3 linked regions of the Arabidopsis thaliana genome follow. The protein of the gene in region 3 interacts with the protein of the main gene of each other region in a pairwise test. Each region holds a gene or a part of one and is shown on either strand. Other genes may lie near its edges.

What was found. Proteins that work in one complex are often made in the same cells at the same time.
Region 1: the proteins of PTF1 (region 3) and ERF12 interact in binary tests that used the Arabidopsis thaliana proteins (3 or more experiments, as listed by UniProt).
Region 2: the proteins of PTF1 (region 3) and TCP14 interact in binary tests that used the Arabidopsis thaliana proteins (3 or more experiments, as listed by UniProt).

Annotation. Positions count from the first base shown.
Region 1 is NC_003070.9:9,950,136-9,953,618, reverse strand, and holds ERF12 (ERF domain protein 12), read right to left. Parts: upstream 1,858-3,483; 5' UTR 1,686-1,857; coding exon 1,116-1,685; 3' UTR 514-1,115; downstream 1-513.
Region 2 is NC_003074.8:17,556,770-17,561,772, forward strand, and holds TCP14 (TEOSINTE BRANCHED, cycloidea and PCF (TCP) 14), read left to right. Parts: upstream 1-2,023; 5' UTR 2,024-2,234; coding exon 2,235-3,704; 3' UTR 3,705-4,490; downstream 4,491-5,003. UniProt on the Arabidopsis thaliana protein: Transcription factor involved the regulation of plant development. Binds to the Up1 elements (5'-GGCCCAWW-3') in early light-induced proteins (ELIPs, e.g.
Region 3 is NC_003074.8:388,949-393,312, forward strand, and holds PTF1 (plastid transcription factor 1), read left to right. Parts: upstream 1-1,771; 5' UTR 1,772-2,295; intron 2,296-2,548; 5' UTR 2,549-2,573; coding exon 2,574-3,641; 3' UTR 3,642-3,819; downstream 3,820-4,364. UniProt on the Arabidopsis thaliana protein: Plays a pivotal role in the control of morphogenesis of shoot organs by negatively regulating the expression of boundary-specific genes such as CUC genes, probably through the induction of miRNA (e.g. miR164).

The DNA of each region.
Region 1 (3,483 bases), on a different chromosome or scaffold from region 3:
ATCTTTTATGAAAGCAATATGCATAATGCATGATCTTTGTTTAGTCAATACATATGTCTAAGTGTCTAACACATGTAACAGTTCTATGACTGTTTTATAGTCTCATAAAACTACACGATTCCGGTTCTACATATAAAACATAAACATAAAATCTTCACAATCTGCATGAAAGTTTTGATTTCGCTACGTGAGATCTCCTTTAGTTAATTAATTTGACTTCTTATGATATTTGATTATATCAAACATGTTTGTTTCATTTACTACTGAAATTTGCGTTATTTTAAGACTTCTGTAGATAAATTTGTTATGTGAATTTGATATTTATCTATATAGGACCGTCAAAAATTTTATTTATTTTATATTTTTAGATGCTTCTATATATATATGTATACACGCATAACATATATAAGATTGGTAAACATGAGCAGAAAAATTATAGGACAATTAAACTTCCTCTAATTTTATCAGAAAACTTTTGTTCGAATTCATATGAAAATTTTCAAAATAAATAAAAAAATACAATTTATTTACAAACTCAAGACTCATAATACACATATCTTGTCCGTAAGTGAATAAGCCAGTCCAAACTCACACGCTTGCTCAGCATTTACGTCTCTCATTAGTCTCTATCTCTTTTGTTTGTTTCCTTCTTTTCTCAGTCCGTCTTTTGTCGTGATTTAAGAGAGAGGCGCGTGAGTCAAACAGGACACTAGCAAAGCAAACAGCTGCACAAGTCAGTCCGTACTTCACGACACGCCATAGAATACGATAAGATTTTTAAAACCCCCTCGAAACCGACATAAGCGACGGTCGTAACACGATCCACAAACATAATTAGATCCACGTTCAGACGTTGTTAAGTTTTTGTGTTGCTAATTAAGAAGTTTCTTGTTTTTTCCGCAACATATGGATCTCACAACAACAATCGATCTCCGACTCTTACATAACGAACAAAAGAAGGATTAAATTATAAAAACAAGTCTACTAACTCTAACAAAAAGATACTATTTGCTAAAAAAAGAAACTAAAGTAGTTCCACCGAAAGTGGTCTCAAACGGCGCCGTATAGAAAAGTAGGCAAAACGGCGCCGCTATATCCATCTTTATCGTTTGTTTTCAAAGCCAAAGCGGCGGAGGCTCGTTGAGGTCAATGGCTAAGCCACGTCTCACCGTAACAGGGGAAGGAGAAGAATTCATCATCGGAAACCCAACCACTTGATAACCAGGCGATGACGTGGCTGTGTTAGGCGAGGAGGTGAAGTAAAGCGGCGCTTCTGTAGAAGAGTAATCTGAAGTTTTGTCGTTTAGCACACCGGTTCGGAGAAAAATGCGGTGGTGTTGGTGATGATGGTCGGAGCTTGGAGGAACAGGAGGAGGCGCAGCGAACCAGAGCTGTTGGTGTTGGTGGGGTTGGTTATTTGCGGCGGCGGTTGCGGCTGAGGGAGCGGAAGGGAGGTGGTTGAGGTCGAGAGAGAGAGGAGAAGGGAAGTTAGTTTTGGCTTTGATACCACGGAGGAAACGAGCAGCGCCGTCGTAAGCAAGAGCAGCTTCTTCGGGAGTGTCGAAAGTGCCTAACCAAACCCTAGTTTTCTTCCAAGGATCTCGTATCTCAGCAGCGTAGCGACCCCAAGGTCTCTTTCTGACTCCTCTGTAATGCACCTCTCTTGCACACGTCGTTGACGCCATTGTTAGACTCTCAAGAGGGGAAATATGAGAGAATCTAGAGAGAAAGTGGAGAAGAGAAGAAAGAGGTTTTGCTTTGTTGGCTCGTTTGACCCAAATGAGAGAGAGAGTGAGTGAGTTTAAAGAGCAAGAGGTGTGTTTGTAGGGCCGCTTGAGAACACCCGTAATCCTCGGCTTCTTTTGACGATTATCTATCTTTATTTGTTGCCTATACGTAATATATATGGCAAGTTAATAGTAAAAACAAAACTGAATAGTGTTTGATTTCTAGGATCGAGGTTTTCTCTGGGGTTTGCAAGAATCAAGCACCGTTCGATCTTTTGCTGTTGGGTGATGTGACGGTGGTATGCTGAGAGATTGTTACACGTGGGTGTTCTACACCAAAATAATGTTGTTTTAATAAGTTGATGTATTTGAAAAAATACAATAGGATTTCTCATAAAGTGAATACTTCTAGTGGTGAGTGGACTTATTCTAGGACATGAAAGAAAACAATGCTAATCATTCCTTTGAGTGCTAATACTGTTTTCTTATCTACCATTTACAACTTCTGTTATATAAAAAAGATTTGTTAGGTAATGGTTAGAAATAAAATATTTTAGTTCTACTCTCCAAACAACCTCATTACCGTTGTAACTTATGGTAAATTAACTCATTACTTGCTAGTGACGATAATGCCATACTATGAAATTTATGCTATTATAAAAAGAAGATAGAAAGATCATTTTTGCATAGGCTCTCCAAACATTTTTTCATAATTCAAGTACTTTGTTTTCGATCGTAACAATCTCGATGCTTTTTCTCACAGCAACCATTGATACAAAATGATCAAAGAAAAAAGAACTAAAAATAAATAATCTTGTACATTTACGAAGAGGAAAGAAAAATGGGCCGCCTCTTTGACTGAACCTGTGGCATAGGGATGCTGACGTAATCCCTAGTACTGATAATAGCCATCTCTCTCTATCTTTTGTATCTTTCACTCTATTATTTGACAAGTATTTAAATGCTCTCTTTTGGGGTTTTATTGGCACCCATATATATTTATGATGCACGAGGACAAGGCTACAAGGAGATCATTAAATAAAGTTACTTGACACAACTACTCTATCTTTAGCTCTGACTGATTTTGTTTTTCTTTTTGTCCAAAATTCATTAGCCCATCTTATGCAAACTTACTATACTCTCTAGTCTATACTAATAGAGTAGATTACATAGGCTCTTTCTTTTCCCTCTAAAAAGTGACGTAGTTTAAGTCTTTATATTGTGTAAAATATATAGTAATCATAGGAGTCAAAAATTTATAGCAATTGAAGTGGCTTATAATTTTCAGTAATAGACAATGAATTAAAACAAATTAGTTAGAGGTTTTTTGTTTTTGTTTTATCAACTGAAGTTTTATTAGATTAATTTGTCTTTTAACTTCTCTATTTCTTGACATTTTGTAAGATGTTTTTGTTTGGTTTTAGGGTTATTTAAAAATAAATAAAAAAATCTGTGTTTCCTTTCACGTGACAAGGCTTAGGGTCTGTCGTTTTGATTGAACAAATGCATTGGTCCATATCTAACAAAATTTATACACGTGCGAACTCTGATGTCTGACTTCTCTCTCTCTGACATATCTAATTATTTAAATTAACCCTACCTATAAGCACAGTAAAAAAAAGAGAGATACCCCAAAGCTATATAAGCTACTACAGTACTAATAATCATTTTCAAGAAATATTTTGGAGAAAAATGTGAATGTGGCTTTCGTGTTCACGTGAGCCTGTGATACATAAGAGCTTTATGACGTGTCTTT
Region 2 (5,003 bases), about 17 Mb from region 3:
AGTAAACCTGCCTGTAAAATGATACTTAAAATGTTAGATTCAATCTTCCAACAATAATTTATTCATTACAATGCAAGTACGTATGTGACTATTGGGGGTGTTAATTATTTCTTACATAAAGGAATAATTATAATTTACAGGACTCATGGTAAGTAATATTTATAATTTAGACCGACCACTTGTGTTTCTGTCATTTTACATTTATGAATATGAACAATCCATTTGATTCCGTCCTAGGTGGGAGTAGACTGCAATCTACAATAATTAATTTATAGTACAAAACCAATTGATTAGTGAATTGGTTTAAGTTATTAAACTAAAAGAAGTAATTATTCAAGGTTGAGCCCTAGCTATAGTGCCAGATATTTTTAATTAAATCCTAATTAAGCATTTAATTAAGACCCCAATAGACGAAACGAAAGCAAGTACCATCATCATATATAATCATGCATATTTATCAAAGTTTTATATTTTATAACAAGAGAGGGAATCCCAAAGCTATCATCATCATCCACATTTACTCTACCATACTTTCGATTCTTTATGCTCTTTTTATAATCTTAATTGTTGTTGAAACTTTTGCTTCTTTATTTTAAATATACGTTTATGGTGCTTATTTAAACAACAAATATGTAATACGTCGAAACAGTTTGTAATATGTGTACGTAATATTAAACTATATCATTTCTTCGAATAATAACACATATCACATATCATATGTTATTTACAAAAATTCTTCATCAAATACATTCATTAACATATATATATATATTTATATATATGACATCTATGATCATATATTTTTATTTTTATCAAAATAGTCATAGTTTCCATATGTATTATTAATAGAGTTTAGTTTACAATATTTCAAAGCCTTAATAAGTAGTTCTTTTACTTTGAAAAAACAAAAATAGACATTTATAATAGAAAAACAGAGAGGTTGGTTAAAATGCTAAAAGTCTCATTTTATTCATACTTTTAGTTTTTTCTTTTTTTTTTGAAAAACCCTATTTATTTGATAACATACATAAATCAACTTTTGGGCAGTGGTGTTACATACCATAGTTCTTCACTTTTTTTGTATAGAGATTTGCTATCTGATTAAATAAAAACGAATAATGCTTGGGTTTAAAATTGTGAATAACAATGATAATGTTTCTAGTTTCCGGCAAAAGTAGCAGGGGAAGAATGATTACGTGAATGATGTAGGACCCAAAACGTTTTGAAATAAATTACTAAATTTTTGACCAAATTGAGTTGTTTAATTTGGAGAGGAGTGTTGGCCCCATCACTCTCTCGTCGACCTCTCCATTGTCTTTATGGAATGAATGATAAAAGAGGACACCTCACGTGGACTCTGCTGCCACAACGACTCTCTCCAACCATATCCCCTTCACATATATGACATATTTTTCTTACATTTACTATATATTAAAGACTCCACATTGTACATTTTTTCATCTCATTTATTAACGCAACGTTCAGATTTTTCCATTTTTAACTAGTCGTGAAAAGTATTTTCGTTGTACGGTGAATATTGTAGCCCTTTTTTACGGTGGGTGTTTTTTTTTTCATTTGATTGATGAGTAAATCTACATCGAGAAAAGAATATAATGAAAGATATACCGAAATCTTTTGATTATGGACAGATTTATTTTGTTTAAACCTTTTTTTTTTTTTACTGTTTTAAAAAGTTGACTAAATGCTTATCTGAGAAAATAATTAACGTGAAAAATAATTTGATATAATTCGGATTAAGTTAACTATAACAGACTGATTTTGATTGAGCAGAAATTAACGTTGAAATATTCACATTGGCTAATTACATCAATTCATTTTTGCGTTGATTAAATGACACTTTCTTTTCTTCAACTATTAAATGATATTCCCATTGTTGACATTTCTCTAAGTATATGATTTTAAGTAATTTTCATAAAGAAGCAATGAACAGTATTTTCATTTGAAAAAAAAAAGATATGTAATGAGATTTTTCTTTTAATTTTTTAATGTTATGTAAAGCTCACCCATATAATTCTCACTCATGATCTTTGTTTCTTTAAGCTTTTCTTCTCCATTGTCTCTCTCTTTCTTATCCTCTCTTTCTCAATCAATTCCTTCAGACTTATACACTTTATTTTTTTTCCCCTCTTGTCGAAAACATCACATATAAATAAAAAACCAAAAACCCTAATTTATAAAATATATATAAAATAGTTATAGCTCCCCACTTATATATGCAAAAGCCAACATCAAGTATCTTAAATGTCATAATGGACGGTGGAGACAGCGTCGGAGGAGGAGGAGGAGATGATCACCACCGTCACCTCCACCATCACCACCGCCCTACTTTCCCTTTTCAACTACTCGGAAAACACGACCCCGACGACAACCATCAACAACAACCTTCCCCTTCCTCCTCCTCCTCTCTATTTTCTCTCCATCAACACCAACAATTATCTCAATCGCAACCTCAATCGCAATCGCAAAAGTCACAACCGCAGACAACGCAAAAAGAGTTATTACAAACGCAAGAGGAATCTGCGGTGGTGGCAGCTAAAAAGCCACCGTTGAAACGAGCGTCGACGAAAGACCGACACACGAAAGTAGACGGAAGAGGGAGGAGAATAAGGATGCCGGCGTTATGTGCAGCTAGGGTTTTTCAGCTAACGCGAGAGCTAGGTCATAAATCCGACGGTGAGACAATAGAGTGGCTTCTTCAACAAGCTGAACCATCTGTAATCGCCGCCACCGGAACCGGAACAATCCCGGCGAATTTCACTTCTTTAAACATCTCTCTCCGTTCTTCAGGCTCTTCCATGTCTCTTCCTTCTCATTTCCGCTCCGCCGCTTCCACTTTTAGCCCTAATAACATATTTTCTCCGGCGATGCTTCAACAACAACAACAACAACAACGTGGTGGTGGTGTTGGGTTTCATCATCCCCATCTACAGGGACGTGCACCTACGTCGTCTTTGTTTCCTGGTATTGATAACTTCACACCAACGACGTCGTTTTTGAACTTTCATAATCCAACAAAGCAAGAAGGAGATCAAGATTCTGAAGAGTTAAACTCGGAGAAGAAAAGAAGAATCCAAACGACGTCGGATTTGCATCAACAACAACAACAACACCAACATGATCAAATCGGAGGATATACACTTCAATCTAGCAACAGTGGATCTACAGCCACCGCAGCCGCCGCGCAACAAATACCGGGAAATTTCTGGATGGTTGCGGCGGCTGCGGCTGCAGGTGGTGGTGGTGGTAATAACAACCAAACAGGTGGTCTTATGACAGCTTCTATTGGTACTGGTGGCGGCGGTGGAGAGCCTGTTTGGACGTTTCCTTCCATTAACACGGCAGCGGCAGCGTTATATAGAAGTGGCGTTTCGGGCGTTCCAAGCGGCGCGGTTTCTAGCGGTTTACATTTTATGAATTTCGCAGCGCCAATGGCATTTCTTACTGGACAACAACAGCTAGCAACAACTAGTAATCATGAGATTAATGAAGATAGTAATAATAATGAAGGAGGAAGAAGTGACGGTGGTGGTGATCATCATAATACACAGAGACATCATCATCATCAACAACAACATCATCATAATATTCTCTCCGGCTTGAACCAGTACGGACGGCAAGTTTCCGGCGACTCTCAAGCTAGTGGATCACTTGGAGGTGGTGATGAGGAGGATCAGCAAGATTAGACACACACAAAAACATTTTAACGGTGGGATTTTCTGCCGACGGCGGTAGCGGTGACGGCGTTCGGCGGCTGTGTAAAACTTTTGTTTTCACCGTTAATTTTTTTTATTTTCTGTAGTAATTTTTTTTGCTAAGTAAAAAAAAAAAAAAAAACACGTGAGATTTTCTTTTTAATTTTGATTTTTTTACTTGATTTTAAATTTGATTTTTCTTGTGAGTGAGTGATTAAATAGTACACGAGATTTTTTATGTCAGGTTTTTTGGATTTTGAGGAGAATATGACACTTTTTTTTATCATTATTGTTTTTAATTGTTTTTTTTCTTCTTCTGATAGTGTCACTGTCGTCTCGATTCTCAATCATCTTCGTTTTCTTTATCCATTAAGAAATTAATTATACATAAAGAAAAATTCTAAAAAGTATTCGTCAAACAATGTTGGTTCCTATAGTAATAATAGTAACATATACATCAAAGTATAATCTTACTGTTTTTTTAGTAACATTACGTTTTTTTAAGTGTTAATACAAAAAAAATTGAGAAACTATTTTATCAAGGAATGAGATGGGCCTCTCTCTATTGGCCCACCAATCTCTGTTATATTTGGCCCTTGAAGTAGTTGTTTCAAAGCTAATAGAAAACAGCAAAGTGTCTCGTTTGTTTTACATGGTCGAACGAAAACGATACAAAAAACATAAAAATATCTCGTTTGATCTTATATGCTATGAAATATATTAAATGCTTTTTTTAGTATATGATTCATTTTATCTCTGTTTCTTTGTCGTTTGTCCCCACTAAACAATCAATCTGATTTTGTATATGATGAGATATCTAATACTATTATATCATGATATTGTTAAAACTGGTTTTGTATATGATGATAATATTATATCAAGACTAGTTTAGACTATGAGAATTAATTAGAAAGTGATATAGTTTGAATGTCGCGTACAAAGTTATGGCTCAAAATTTTGTTTCTTTTTTTTTGACGAAGTACACCAAAAATATTTGATTGTTTCAGTATATTCTTTTTGTGTTTGTATGCCTTTAGAAAGTAATATTAACAATTTGTAAATTGATAGTGTTTAATTAGAACATAATTTACTTTATAAAATCTATTATTATGTTGTGAAAGAAAATATTCACTCAACATCGATCGGTCATATATTCAAGAATCAAGATAAATAATCTGAAGTTTTAAAAATCTGTTTTCGCATGGGTTAAATATAAGTTTTTACAAAAAGGATGAAGACAGAAAACAAATAAAAATAAATGTGAATGCAGACTATATAATATATCATTGA
Region 3 (4,364 bases):
TTTGGTGTTCTATTTGCAATATTCACGTAAGCTCACGTAATTCATACGTTTTTGTTTGTCTTGCTAACTTTAGCTTCATCTCATTTATATACGCTGATATTGATTGCTATTTATCAAATATGGAGAAATGTGTTTAACTTTTAACATGATTTTTAGGATATTATTGTCGTTGATATATATATCCTTCACATCATTAATTATTATTATGGATGTGAAAATACTATAGAAAAGCTATTAAAACCCCAATCTTTGTTCATGAGACAACAAAATTCTGGAGTCGGTGAAGTAGACATGACTTAATGGATTCTAAGTTTGTCCGATTTCTCCTTTGTTCCCATGTGATGTCTTAAGATAAAATGATCATCATCACACTTTCTTTTTCTCTTACTCCTTTGTTTCGATTCATAAGGATATATTGCTTTCGTCCACTTCTAATATTCTTATATCACTTTATTTAAAAGACAATGTACAATTTAATAAAATTAATAATTTGATGAATGTTATTGATTCATATAGATATTTAAAATGTATTTGAAAAAGGGGTACAAATCTTATTGTGAATGGATAATTAATTAAGTTGCATACTTCAAAAGACAATCATGTGGATACTTTTTTATTATTAGTTTTATGGATTTGAAATTCTGAAAAATACTCGTCTCAATTATTCTTAGAACATTAAGTTTGACCTAAAAGAATGGTTTGACTAGTAATATGGGAATTATATAGGTGCCCCTTTTCACAGATGATGCATCCGAATAACAAAATCATATTACTTCTTATATCCTACCGTCCATATTAATTATATTAGATTACACATTTAAATATAATATATACATCATTAGATCTAATATAGAAAATCTTATTAAAAAAAAATCCTTATATAAAGAAAAATCACAAGGTTAACACAACCTTATCGATAAATAAAGATGTTAAAACTGATTTTTATATATGAAGCAAAAGTAAATTAGGGCTTAGTGATGTCTAGTTAAAGTACTTGTGTTTTGAAAAGGTAATGAGTCATGACTCAACAAGGTACACAAGGCGTGCATCGGGTAAACCACAACCTTTTGTAATTGTCGATATAACAGCATGCCAATATTCACATGGACCATATACTGTGTGTATATTATATATTACCATATATGTGAGTTACATTTCATATTGTAGAACCAAGGACTAAATTTAAACATAATGTACCATATTCTTTTAATTAGATTATTCATAAGATATCCAATTTAAAAGATGAGTTAAAATGATCAAGAAAACGCTACGCTGAACTCTAAAGTCTAATCTTTATCATTTATAGAAGTGTTATGAAACAAATCAATACCTGGTTAATAATTGATGTAGTTTCATTTTTTTTTTTAAGAAAAGAAAGTGATGAAGTGTTTAACTAGTCATAATATTATAGATCCAACTTCATTTCAATATATCACGAGTGCATTGGCGGCTGCAAAACATATTTTTGAAAAGAGCAAAAAAAAAAATCAAGGATCATAAATAATATAGGTCTTGGCTTTTTAATTCTACCAATAGATTTACAGTGGACAATTAAAGAAAAAAAATCACGAAATTATCATGGTTTGGCTAATTGAGATAAAATTCATACGTTTTCCATCAATAATCGTACATCATCCATTTCACAACAATAATTATTCCTAAAATGTCGTTATTTTCATAACATTGGTTAGATGTTCTAATAAGCTACTATTATATATAACTTCACGTCAATGTATGTTTGATTTTGGCATCTAAAATTTCTGTAAAATTTAGATATTCGCGTATACTTTTTTTGGGATTTTCTTCTTAGCCGTATTATAACTGCAACTCATATCACATACGTGGATGATAAAATATTCGAGTTTAATATCTCCTCCGTATGTAGATTTGATATGATCCATAATATTAAAGATGAAAATGAACTTGACTGATTATTCAGCGCATTCATTTTATTTTCCCTTCGAGGATAGCGAAATCCGCCACGTGGCATTACTACATCCATTGCTTTTTTTAACATAAATACTTAAGTCGCAATTCTTCTAAATTTTGGAGGCTTATGATATTGGTAGGGTTCTCATATTCACTTCCAAAAGCATCTTCTTCTTTCTAATTTTCTTTTTCTTTTTATCTTATTTTCATTTTATTCATATACTTTTTGAAAAGAAAAGTCGAATCACATACTTTCTTCTCTCTATTTCTCATTCTCTCTTCTTCATCATATTACTCATTTTATAGAACAGCAAAACCCTAGATTTCCTGTTCAAGCTCAAGACCGTACAAAACTTTGGAACTCATGTAAGAAACAGTACACGTTTTTTTTTTTGTTTCTTCTTCAGTCCGGATTATAAGAATTTTGTCGATTGAAGAAAACAGGCTAAATTAAACCCTAATTTTCTCTCTTAGACAATTCCTACTTTCTCTCCATTTTTCTGGATTCGCTCTCGTTTTAAAAGGATTCAGAAATTAACTATATTATTTGAATTCTTTTGCCATAATTCCCTTATGTTTTCTGCTAATGGATATACATTTGGTCTTCTTTCTGTATTAGATATAAAGATCTCGAGAATAGCATTATGAATATCGTCTCTTGGAAAGATGCAAACGACGAAGTTGCAGGCGGCGCTACGACAAGACGTGAAAGAGAAGTAAAAGAGGATCAAGAAGAAACCGAAGTCAGAGCCACCAGTGGCAAAACCGTAATTAAAAAGCAGCCTACATCGATCTCTTCTTCTTCTTCTTCGTGGATGAAATCCAAGGATCCGAGGATTGTTAGGGTTTCACGCGCCTTTGGAGGCAAAGACCGTCACAGCAAAGTGTGTACGTTACGTGGACTACGTGACAGACGCGTGAGATTATCAGTCCCAACGGCTATTCAGCTCTACGATCTTCAAGAACGGCTCGGTGTTGACCAGCCTAGCAAAGCCGTTGACTGGTTGCTTGATGCAGCTAAAGAGGAGATCGACGAGCTACCTCCGTTACCTATCTCGCCGGAAAATTTCAGCATCTTCAACCATCATCAGTCCTTCTTGAATCTTGGTCAACGGCCCGGTCAAGATCCGACCCAACTCGGGTTTAAAATCAATGGATGTGTACAAAAGTCTACTACTACTAGCCGCGAAGAAAACGATAGAGAGAAAGGAGAAAACGATGTCGTTTACACAAACAATCATCATGTTGGGTCTTATGGAACTTATCACAACCTGGAACATCATCATCATCATCACCAACATTTGAGTTTACAGGCAGATTATCATAGTCATCAACTACATAGTCTTGTCCCATTTCCATCACAAATTTTGGTATGTCCAATGACGACATCACCAACAACTACAACTATACAATCTTTGTTTCCATCATCATCGTCAGCTGGTTCAGGGACTATGGAGACATTAGATCCGAGGCAAATGGTAAGCCATTTTCAAATGCCATTAATGGGTAATTCTTCATCTTCGTCTTCCCAAAACATTTCGACATTATATTCGTTGTTACATGGTAGTAGTAGCAACAATGGTGGTAGAGACATTGATAATCGGATGTCGTCGGTCCAATTCAACCGAACTAATAGCACTACAACGGCTAACATGTCGAGGCATCTAGGCTCGGAGCGTTGTACAAGTAGAGGAAGTGATCACCATATGTGAAGTTAGATTATTGAAACGATATAATTGTTGTTTGATGTGTTCAGAAATAAGGGGACACAAAACAAAATATAAGGTAATTACTATTGTACTATGTTTTGCTGATATATTTTTTAATAGACAAATTAATGTTATAAATTGATTTATTAATTTACTATTAGCATGTGTTTTGAAACTTTCTCATGTATATATATATATATAGCTTCCTCATAGGATCTGAATACACACAAACATACATGAAATGTATTATAAGTATCTGATAGTAATGTATGCACTTTGAGATGAGAAGCTAAATTACATTCAGATTCATCAAATATTTAGCAAAAAAAAAAATCAGATTCATCAATAGGTAACGTAATAATATGAAATTGAATCTAATAATTTATACTGATCTGTTATCGAGGTATTATGTTTCTATTGGATGCACGGTACAATGCAACTATAGAACTCAATGTGACCGTAGCTAGATAGATTATTAGATGATGATATAAGTGGAGATTCCACAAAACCCAAACAAACCTAACATTACTATGTCATGTGAAGCAGATATATATTGAACCCATTATCAAATAGAAATTCATCATGAATGGTTATTATACATACAAGTGCCCATTTTAAAATCTTATTAGCATAGTAAGTAAACTATCAAGATGCAAAGAAGCCATTCCCATATAAAAATTAAGATGTGTAGCTAGGCTAAATGGTCTCGATAATAATGTGTAGTAG